2 linked regions of the Coturnix japonica genome follow. The protein of the gene in region 1 purifies or fractionates together with the protein of each later gene. This does not show direct contact. Links are inferred from orthologs where the notes say so. Each region holds a gene or a part of one and is shown on either strand. Other genes may lie near its edges.

Evidence for each region. The genes of interacting proteins can lie anywhere in the genome.
Region 2: the proteins of MICALL2 (region 1) and RAB8A purify together in Homo sapiens (co-immunoprecipitation; 3 studies listed by BioGRID and IntAct, with this or other methods). This does not show direct contact. The link is inferred for Coturnix japonica from reciprocal best matches to the Homo sapiens genes MICALL2 and RAB8A.

What each region holds. Positions count from the first base shown.
Region 1 is NC_029529.1:2,641,213-2,645,436, forward strand, and holds the start of MICALL2 (MICAL-like protein 2), read right to left. Parts: upstream 2,807-4,224; 5' UTR 2,730-2,806; coding exon 2,587-2,729; intron 1-2,586. UniProt on the Homo sapiens protein: Effector of small Rab GTPases which is involved in junctional complexes assembly through the regulation of cell adhesion molecules transport to the plasma membrane and actin cytoskeleton reorganization.
Region 2 is NC_029543.1:3,483,455-3,487,485, reverse strand, and holds the start of RAB8A (ras-related protein Rab-8A), read left to right. Parts: upstream 1-1,222; 5' UTR 1,223-1,452; coding exon 1,453-1,576; intron 1,577-1,959; coding exon 1,960-2,020; intron 2,021-2,200; coding exon 2,201-2,261; intron 2,262-2,577; coding exon 2,578-2,655; intron 2,656-3,039; coding exon 3,040-3,129; intron 3,130-3,808; coding exon 3,809-3,874; intron 3,875-4,031. Other genes in the region: TPM4 (tropomyosin alpha-4 chain), read left to right, coding at 455-537. UniProt on the Homo sapiens protein: The small GTPases Rab are key regulators of intracellular membrane trafficking, from the formation of transport vesicles to their fusion with membranes.

The DNA.
Region 1 (4,224 bases):
CACCCACTGCATGCTCACAAAGTCCTCTGCAATTACATGTGCTTCCTCTGTGCTGATGCTTTGCACACTCAGAGCCTTCACCAAGTAGGAAAAGTCCAGAGGCTATCAACTGCCTGGCCACATTGGCAGCTCACAGCCTCATCCTGCCTGGCTTAGCTGACAGCGACCCAGAAAATGCTGCTGGAGGAACGGGTGCACACAGCTGCTCTGTTCTGGCCACCAAACATGCATGCCCAAGTGCACAGCTGTCAAGGGGAATTTCACAACCATCCCATTCCCAGAACGCTGCCAGCACTCTGGGAACGAGCAGGATCCAGGATGAAGGAGCTTAATCAAAACCTTTATTCAACATCTGGCATCAATAACAGAGAGAGTGTGGGCGGCTCCCCTGCTGCTTTTAACTCACTTATCGGATGGGGAGCAGAGAAACCTCCAGCCAGAGCTGGCTGCAGAGCAGGGCACACCACTGTGAGGCTGTGCTCCCTCTGACCACAGGGACTTTAATGCTCTGCCACCATCCCAGAATGGGCTCACACCCATGGCTGGGTACCACACACACTTCAGCTGGGATGAAGGAGAAACAGATTTCCATGGTAATTCAGTGTGTGCCTCTGCTCCCACAGAGCTCAGCCTGTCTGTGCATCCCTGGGTGAGTGGGAAGTGAATTGGAAATGGGTTTCTTATTTTACACAGCCTGTCCTGCTCACTGATAACACACAGAACTGGTTAAGTCTGAGAGGAATTATCATGTTGTCCGTATGTTTCCTGGCAAGAAAACAAGAACAGGGAAGAGCCCTGCACCAACCTGCCCTCTGACCCATGGAACCCACAAGAGAAGCACATGATTATTACCACAATTTGTAATTGCTTCAAGTTTTCCTATGAACTCCTCAGGCTCTTTCAAGGAGAAATCACCTCTCCATATCATGCACTCTTCAGCCCAGGAATGTAAACCAAGACGGAAAACACACTGTTACAAAACTGCTGCTGTGACTGAATCATGTCCTGCAAGCAATTTATATACAAGGGCTGCAGCAAACACACCGCCACTGCTAACACCAGTTACTCAATTCTGGTTTTCTTTTCAGTGTGATGTGTTTAATCCTCAGCTTTTCTAAGAACAAGAGGAGGAGCTCAGGATAAACCAGTTTGAGCCCCCAGGAAGCAAAAATCACAGCCACACGTACACCCAGCTGCCAAACTGCCACAAGGGCTTTTATAGATTCACAAGGAAGCTGCACGAATACTCAGCCCTGGGAGCTGAGTTACACGTGACGGCCTGAAATGACGACTATTTGAAAGTATAATTTACTTGCAGCAGGACTTTGTCCAGGCAAGGGTATACCTGGTGATTTCCTACATTGCACCACTGACGCTGAGGAGGGAAGTCATACCGAAAGCTTCTCTCACTTTCACCCCCAGGCAGCCTTGTTGAGCTGGTCCAAGTCAAAAAGGGTTTTTGCAAAGTCCTGTAGGATTTCCAGCACAAGATAAGTTCAGCAGGAACAAAGATGCTGCAGGGATCCTTTCCCCTCTCCAACACAGAAACATTTACTTTACATACATCTATCCACAACCCCAGCACACACTTCTAGGACTGTAACAACCCACTAAAGGGGTCCCAGTTCCCAGATGCTGAGCCCTGCTCACACTCACACTCCAGATGGGCTGGCAGCAGAGCTGGCCAGGAAGCAGCCCCAGGCCAGTCCGTGAGCACCTCCCATCACGTCAGCCTTTCTGCTCTGATATTTCCTACCTTTGGGACAGTGAATGAATGGAAGGAAGGGAAATATCTGGAGCCACGTGGATGTGACAGCACATCAGGAAGCCACACACAGCAACACCATGGTGACAGCCCAGGGAATGGCAGAGCAGGCGTGTAATAGTTCCTGCTGCTCTCAAGGCTGCTCCAGCCCCTTCTAAGTTTCAAAGCTATGGAGAGGAGTGAGTGCTAAACGACAGCTTGTCCTTGGGCTTCCATCAGCACTGAGACACCTATAAAGGATCTCTACACATAAAGAGGTGCCGGGCTGCATTGGGAAACCAAGGGAAGGCAGAACTCAAGAAACAATCGGAAAACTCCAGTAAAGAACACACACCCCATCAGCCACGTCTCACTGGGAATGACCTAATGCTTAAACCAACACACCTGGCCTGTGCTATTCCACTGCCTGCTCCCTCCTCAATCCCCCGCAACAAAGTGCAACGAGCCCAGAATTCCTTCTAAAAAAGACCAAACCTAGGACAATCCCTAGTTAATTTTCAGTTTCCTTTAACAATTCTCATAGCCGGGCGTTACGTTTGGGGCAGGGGCAGGTCAAAAACCACGGGATGACAGCAAAGAAAGAAGCAAAGGGGCAGAACCGTGCACGGGAACGCAGCGATAGAGCTGCAATGTACGGGATGGGAGGACGCACCGCCCCACCAACACAGACAGCGATGAACGAAACCCCAAAGCGATGCCTAAAGATGTTGTGCAGGTTTATCTGACAGCCACAGCTCCCTGCAGGAGGAGGGAAGGAGGGAAAGCAGACTCAACATCGGAGCTAACGGAGCGGCTGAGGGCCGGGCTGTGCCGGTACTCACATGAGGTCGGGTCGGTGGCGGTGCAGGATGGCGCAGAACGCCAACCCGTCGCGGAACGAGGTGGTCATGTTGGTGATGCTGACATCTCGGTAACCCTCGCATTGCTGCTTGCACCACAGCTGCAGGTTCTGGATGGCAGCCATAGCGCAGCCCCGGGCCGTGCCGCCTGCGGGAGCCGCGGGCGTGAGGCGGACGGAGGGAGGAGGAGGCGGGGAAAGGGGCGGGAGCCGGCGGTACCTCACGGCCGCCCACAGCCGGGCCCGCCTCAGCCGCCGTGCGGGGCACACGGATAAGGGCAGTTCTGTTACACTCATAGCGTTTTCATGTGGTGTCAGGGCCGAGCAGGCCGCCCGTCTGGTACCGGTTTACGCACGGCCTCGCTGTGTGGAGAGAACGCGGGCAGATGGGCCGGGATCCGCACTGTGTGAAACCAATGGGCGGACGTAGCGGGGGCTGGAGCTGCAGCTCAGGAACATCCCGGCCATAGGATGGTTCAGACTAAAAGAGGGCAGCTATAGCAGTGTATAAGGAAAACGTTTTAAGAGCCGTGAGGCGGTGGGATGGGGCGCACAGAGCAGTTAGAGCCCCATCCCTTCACACACCCGAGCTCAAGGAACAGATTTCAATACCTGAAGGGAACTTACTCCCAGGAGGGGAGGAAACTCTCCAAAAGGGCTGACAATAGCAGGACACGGGGAAATGGTTTTAAGTTAAAAGAAGGAAGATTTAGGTTGGATGTTAGGGGGAAGTTCTTCACTAGGAGAGTGGTTAGGCCCTGGAACAGGCTGCCCAGGGAGGTTGTGGATGCCCCGTCCTTGGAGGTGTTCAAGGCCAGGTTGGACGGGGCCATGGGCAACCTGATCTAGTAAATGTGTATGTTTGGTGGCCCTGCCAGGCAGGGGGTTTGAACTACATGATCCTTGAGGTCCCTTCCAACCCGGGTCATTCTGTGATTCTGTGTGATGGAGCTGTGGTATCCCTGTATCACTGCACACAGTGGGACCAGGTGGCCCCAAAGGGTCCATTCCTTCCAGCTCAGAGCACAAAACACAAGTGCAAGGAAAGCCTATGATGACCTCAGTGTGGCTGAATTGAGGCTGTGGAGACGCAGCTCCAGGCCTGCACAGGTGGCACAGCTGGGGGAAGAAGCACCACAGTGAGTTTATACCATCACCCACATCCAAATCATAAGTCACCAGACTGAGTCACACGTGGCTGCGGAAGAGACAAGGTAACGCTTTAGGAGCTGCCTATAAATCAGGTAAAAAATAATTAATAATACATATACTCTAATATATTGATGGTGTTTTCATGACATGATATGGATAATATACATTAATATATAAATACCTTACAAATAATTCAGCGTGTTTCCATTTCATCAACAATCACTGGCCAATGTATTTACTTTATGGTAAGGATTATACATTTCATTATAAATGGCTTGCTGGGCATGTCAGCAACTTTTACATCTCCATTCACTTTATTATTAATGGTTTCCTGAACAGTAACGGCATAATAATGCACACAATGCAGCATGCATATTTTATATGGCATATATAGTCACTCATTTATCATTTATAACGTGTTGCAAAAACATTATAAAACATTTATTACACATTTATAGATCACTTTATA
Region 2 (4,031 bases), on another chromosome or scaffold:
ACGAAATTACACATTCCTTTTCAAATGGGTTTTGTATTCTGCTGGGGAAGGACAGCCAGGTGCCGGCTGTCCGGGCGGGCCGTGCAGGGCTGGTGCTGCCTCATGGCCAGGGAAGAATTGCTCTGGAAGGGGTTCTCTATCAAATCCTTGTGAACAATGAACTTTTGTTGGGCCAGCTCACAAGCTTAGAATCGTAAGACCCATTTCAATCAGTAACAAAGTCGTGATGCTCTTTAGCCCGATGGCTGAGAAATAACTGAGATCTGTAGATGAAGTGTCTGACGTGGCAGCTGCCCATATTTCTGTATTTCTGCTTCCGCACTGCTGCTCCATCATAGCTCTGTTTTCTTTTGTATCCCCCTCCAACTGCTCTGGTTGCTGCCTTCTGCCTGTCCTCGTGCCCTCTGCTGTCCGCCTCTCCCCCTGCGCTGTTCTCTGTGCCTCTGCCTGGTAGATGAGCTGTATGCTCAGAAACTGAAGTACAAAGCAATCAGCGAGGAGCTGGACCACGCGCTCAATGACATGACCTCCCTGTAGTCTGCACCTCTCGGTGCTCCGTTTGCTGTATCTCTTATGCTCTTCTTGCCTGTAATTCCTTCTGTGCTAAAAGCGATCCATCCTTCAGCCTGCTCTGTAAGAACTGCGCTCAATAAAGATCAGATGCCTTTACCTGTCCGCTTTGGGGCTTTGTTTCCTTATCAGTACTGACGCTGTAAGTACCGCTCGGTGCTCAGCGGGGGGCGCCGGGCAGCTCCGAAAAACCGGAGCAACCGCAAACCCGACAGCGCTGTTGTTTCCGGCGCATCGGGCGGTGTTTGTACGGCACAGCAGCGCAGCACTGTCCGCTTTACGCCTTTTTTTTGCTCCCTTCCTCCAGACAAACTCGCTCAAGCGAAGGAGGAGAACCTGGGGCTGCACCAGACGCTGGACCAGACACTAAACGAACTGAACTGTATATGACCCGGGGAACGCCGCGGCCGGAAGACGAAACCCGCCCTCATCGCGTCACCGCTGCGCTCTGCCGCCGCTCGTCCCGGTTCCGCTCATCCCGGACGTGGCGTCGCGCATTAAACGTGTTACACGTGTTCCGCCATTCCCGCCGCTCCGCTCCTTGCGCCGCGCCGCCTCTCGGTGACGTCACGAGCCGACAGGCCACGTGACGCTGCCCGCGCGCCCCGTCCCCTCCCTCCGGCTTCTACTCGCGCGGAGACGGGCGCCTTCCGCTCGCGGCCGGAAGTGACGTTGCGCCGGGAGCGCGCGGCCAATCGCGGTGCCGCTTACGTCGCGAGCGGAGTCCAATGGCGCGGCGGCTCGAGGTCCCGCCCACCGGGTCGGCGGTGACGTAACGCTCCGCTCGGCCAATCGCCGCGCTGCGGGCCGTGATGGGCGGCGGGCGCGGCCTGTGAGGCGGCGCGGGGGGCGGGCGGTGCCGCAGGGGCGGCGCCCGGGAACATGGCGAAGACGTACGACTACCTGTTCAAGCTGCTGCTCATCGGCGACTCGGGCGTGGGCAAGACCTGCGTGCTCTTCCGCTTCTCCGAGGATGCGTTCAACGCCACCTTCATCTCCACCATCGGTGCGCGGGGCGGCCGGGGCTGCACACAGCGCGGGGGGCGCTGCGGGCCGGGACGGGGCTGTGCCGTGCCGTGCCGTGCCGCGCCGCGGTGCCGTCGGGCCGTGCGGTGCCGTAGTGCAGTGCAGTGTGGTGCCGTCGGTCGGTGCGGTGCTGTCTGTGTGGCGGTGCTGTCTGTGTGGCGGTGCTGTCGGGCGGTGCGTTGCGGGCCTTGTCGCTGCGCTCGGTTCGGGTCCGATCCCGCGGGGCGCTGCGGGCGCTGAGCCGCGGTTCCGTCCCGGCCGTGGGGACGCTGTGCGGCACAGTCTGGTCGGGGGGAAGCGGAGGGAAAAGCGTTGGTTTGTCCTCTGTAGAAGTTAAATGTAATGAGTTGTTTGTCGTTGCAGGCATTGACTTTAAGATCAGGACTATAGAGCTCGATGGCAAGAGGATCAAGCTGCAGATATGGTGAGGCTCGTTGATGCAGTCGGTGCTGCAGTGCAGTGCTGTTACTTTGTGTGCAGTTGTGCTCTTCAGCGGTATCATTAAACTAAAGCAGTTTTAGTGCACGTGAAGACCAACGTGTGACATGAATGTCTGACAGCATTAAGGTGGGAGGTGTGTGACCCCTCGTTCCATCTGTTGCAGGGACACCGCCGGGCAGGAGCGATTCCGCACCATCACGACGGCGTACTACAGGGGAGCCATGGTAGGAGCGCGGCGCAGGGCGGTTCGGCTCCCAGCAGAGCAGTATCAGAGCAGCCTGCAGTGCTGCAGGCACAGCTGCCTGGACTTGGCTGAGCGCCGGCGCTGTGCTGGGTGCTGGGAGGGCCCGGGGCAGACGGCTGCAGTGACTCACTGAGCTCACACCCCATCATTGCATCTGGCAACACGCGCTGACGTTCCGGGTTGTGCTGAAACAGCTCTTCTTTATCAGTCCTTAAGGCACTCCTTTCTGTTACAGACAGGTTTAACTGTTGCATATATGATCATAGCCAAAACAAGTATCTCTCCTTCCTCCTCAGGGCATTATGTTGGTCTATGACATCACCAATGAAAAGTCTTTTGAAAATATTCGGAACTGGGTCAGGAACATTGAAGAGGTAACTTCTCTTTACTTGACATTCAAGGTGCTGTTTCTCCCTCCAAAAGCAGTTGGAAATTAAATGCTTCAGTAACACTTCTTTCAAATTTAGAGTGGGTAGAAAATAGATTAAATGAAAGTCAGGGAATGCTGTGGGTAACAAATTTGCAGTGTGTGCTTTTGATTTGATTTTCCTGGCACAGAGCTGATGGTTCACAGGGCGCTCACAGAGCAGTCGGTGCCTGCAGTGCAGTGCTGGGATCAGGTGCTGTGCAGGAGCTCAGAAACCTACAGAGTGCTCAGCACCCATGTATCCATTTGAAGTTCTTGATGGAAACCTCGTCATTTGGCAGTATTTGTAAGACATAAACACAGTCCTTTCTTTCCTCTGTTCCTATCTCAGCATGCCTCTCCGGACGTTGAAAAAATGATCCTTGGGAACAAATGTGATGCAAATGACAAAAGACAAGTTTCTAGAGAGCAAGGGGAGAAGGTAAGTGTCACGGGCTGCGCCCAGATGCTGAAGGTGAAGGCAGTACGTAGAAGTCAGTGCTCCCTGGGGTGATCAGTGTCTGCAGAGCCTGCTGAGCTCCTTCCTGCCAGCACTGATGCAAAGTGCAGTTGCTGCCTGAGCAGAAGCAGCCTGTGCTGCAGTGTAACAGCAGCGCTCATCGTTGTGTGTGCCTCCTCAGTGGAACTTCTGAGTGCAGCTACCGAACGCTTCCCAAGCTGTAGCTGCAGTCCAACAAAAAGATGAGTCTGTTCAGAATGCAGCTGGGTTACCTGGTTGAGATGTTAGATGCGGAGTAACTGAGTTCTCAGCCAAAGAAAGAAAATCATTTAGGAATGGCTGCTTTTGTCATACACAGGTAGGCAGGGTTGTTGTTTCTGGCATCGGATGTCAGTTAAAGTAGAGAATGTACTTTTATGTACCACAGACGTTACAGAACTGACAAGGTATCTGTTAGAAATAGATGTATGTATTTAAAGACAAAGGAGCAGACAAAAATGTGTGTTTTGTTCTATGAAAAAGAAGAACAAAGTCCAGTAAGAACAGATGCTGATAGCAATGCAGCTCAGTTCCTGGTTTGTGGAGGAGATCCCGCGCTGTCTGTTATGTTTATGGCTGTTCCTGCAGCCACCCGACTAACACAGAACCTGCTTTTGTTCAGCTTGCAGCGAGTTTTGGAATTAAATTCATGGAGACCAGTGCAAAAGCAAATATAAACATAGAGAATGTAAGTACTGCGACCTTTCTCTTGTATTTATTGTCTTATAACGCGTGAAGATAAGCTGTAAGAACAGTTGCCCATCCTGACTGAGTGCAGAACTCAACTGCTGATACTTCATATGGGCTGTTACAGTCAGAAGGGCAGATTATTGTTAAACAAAGCT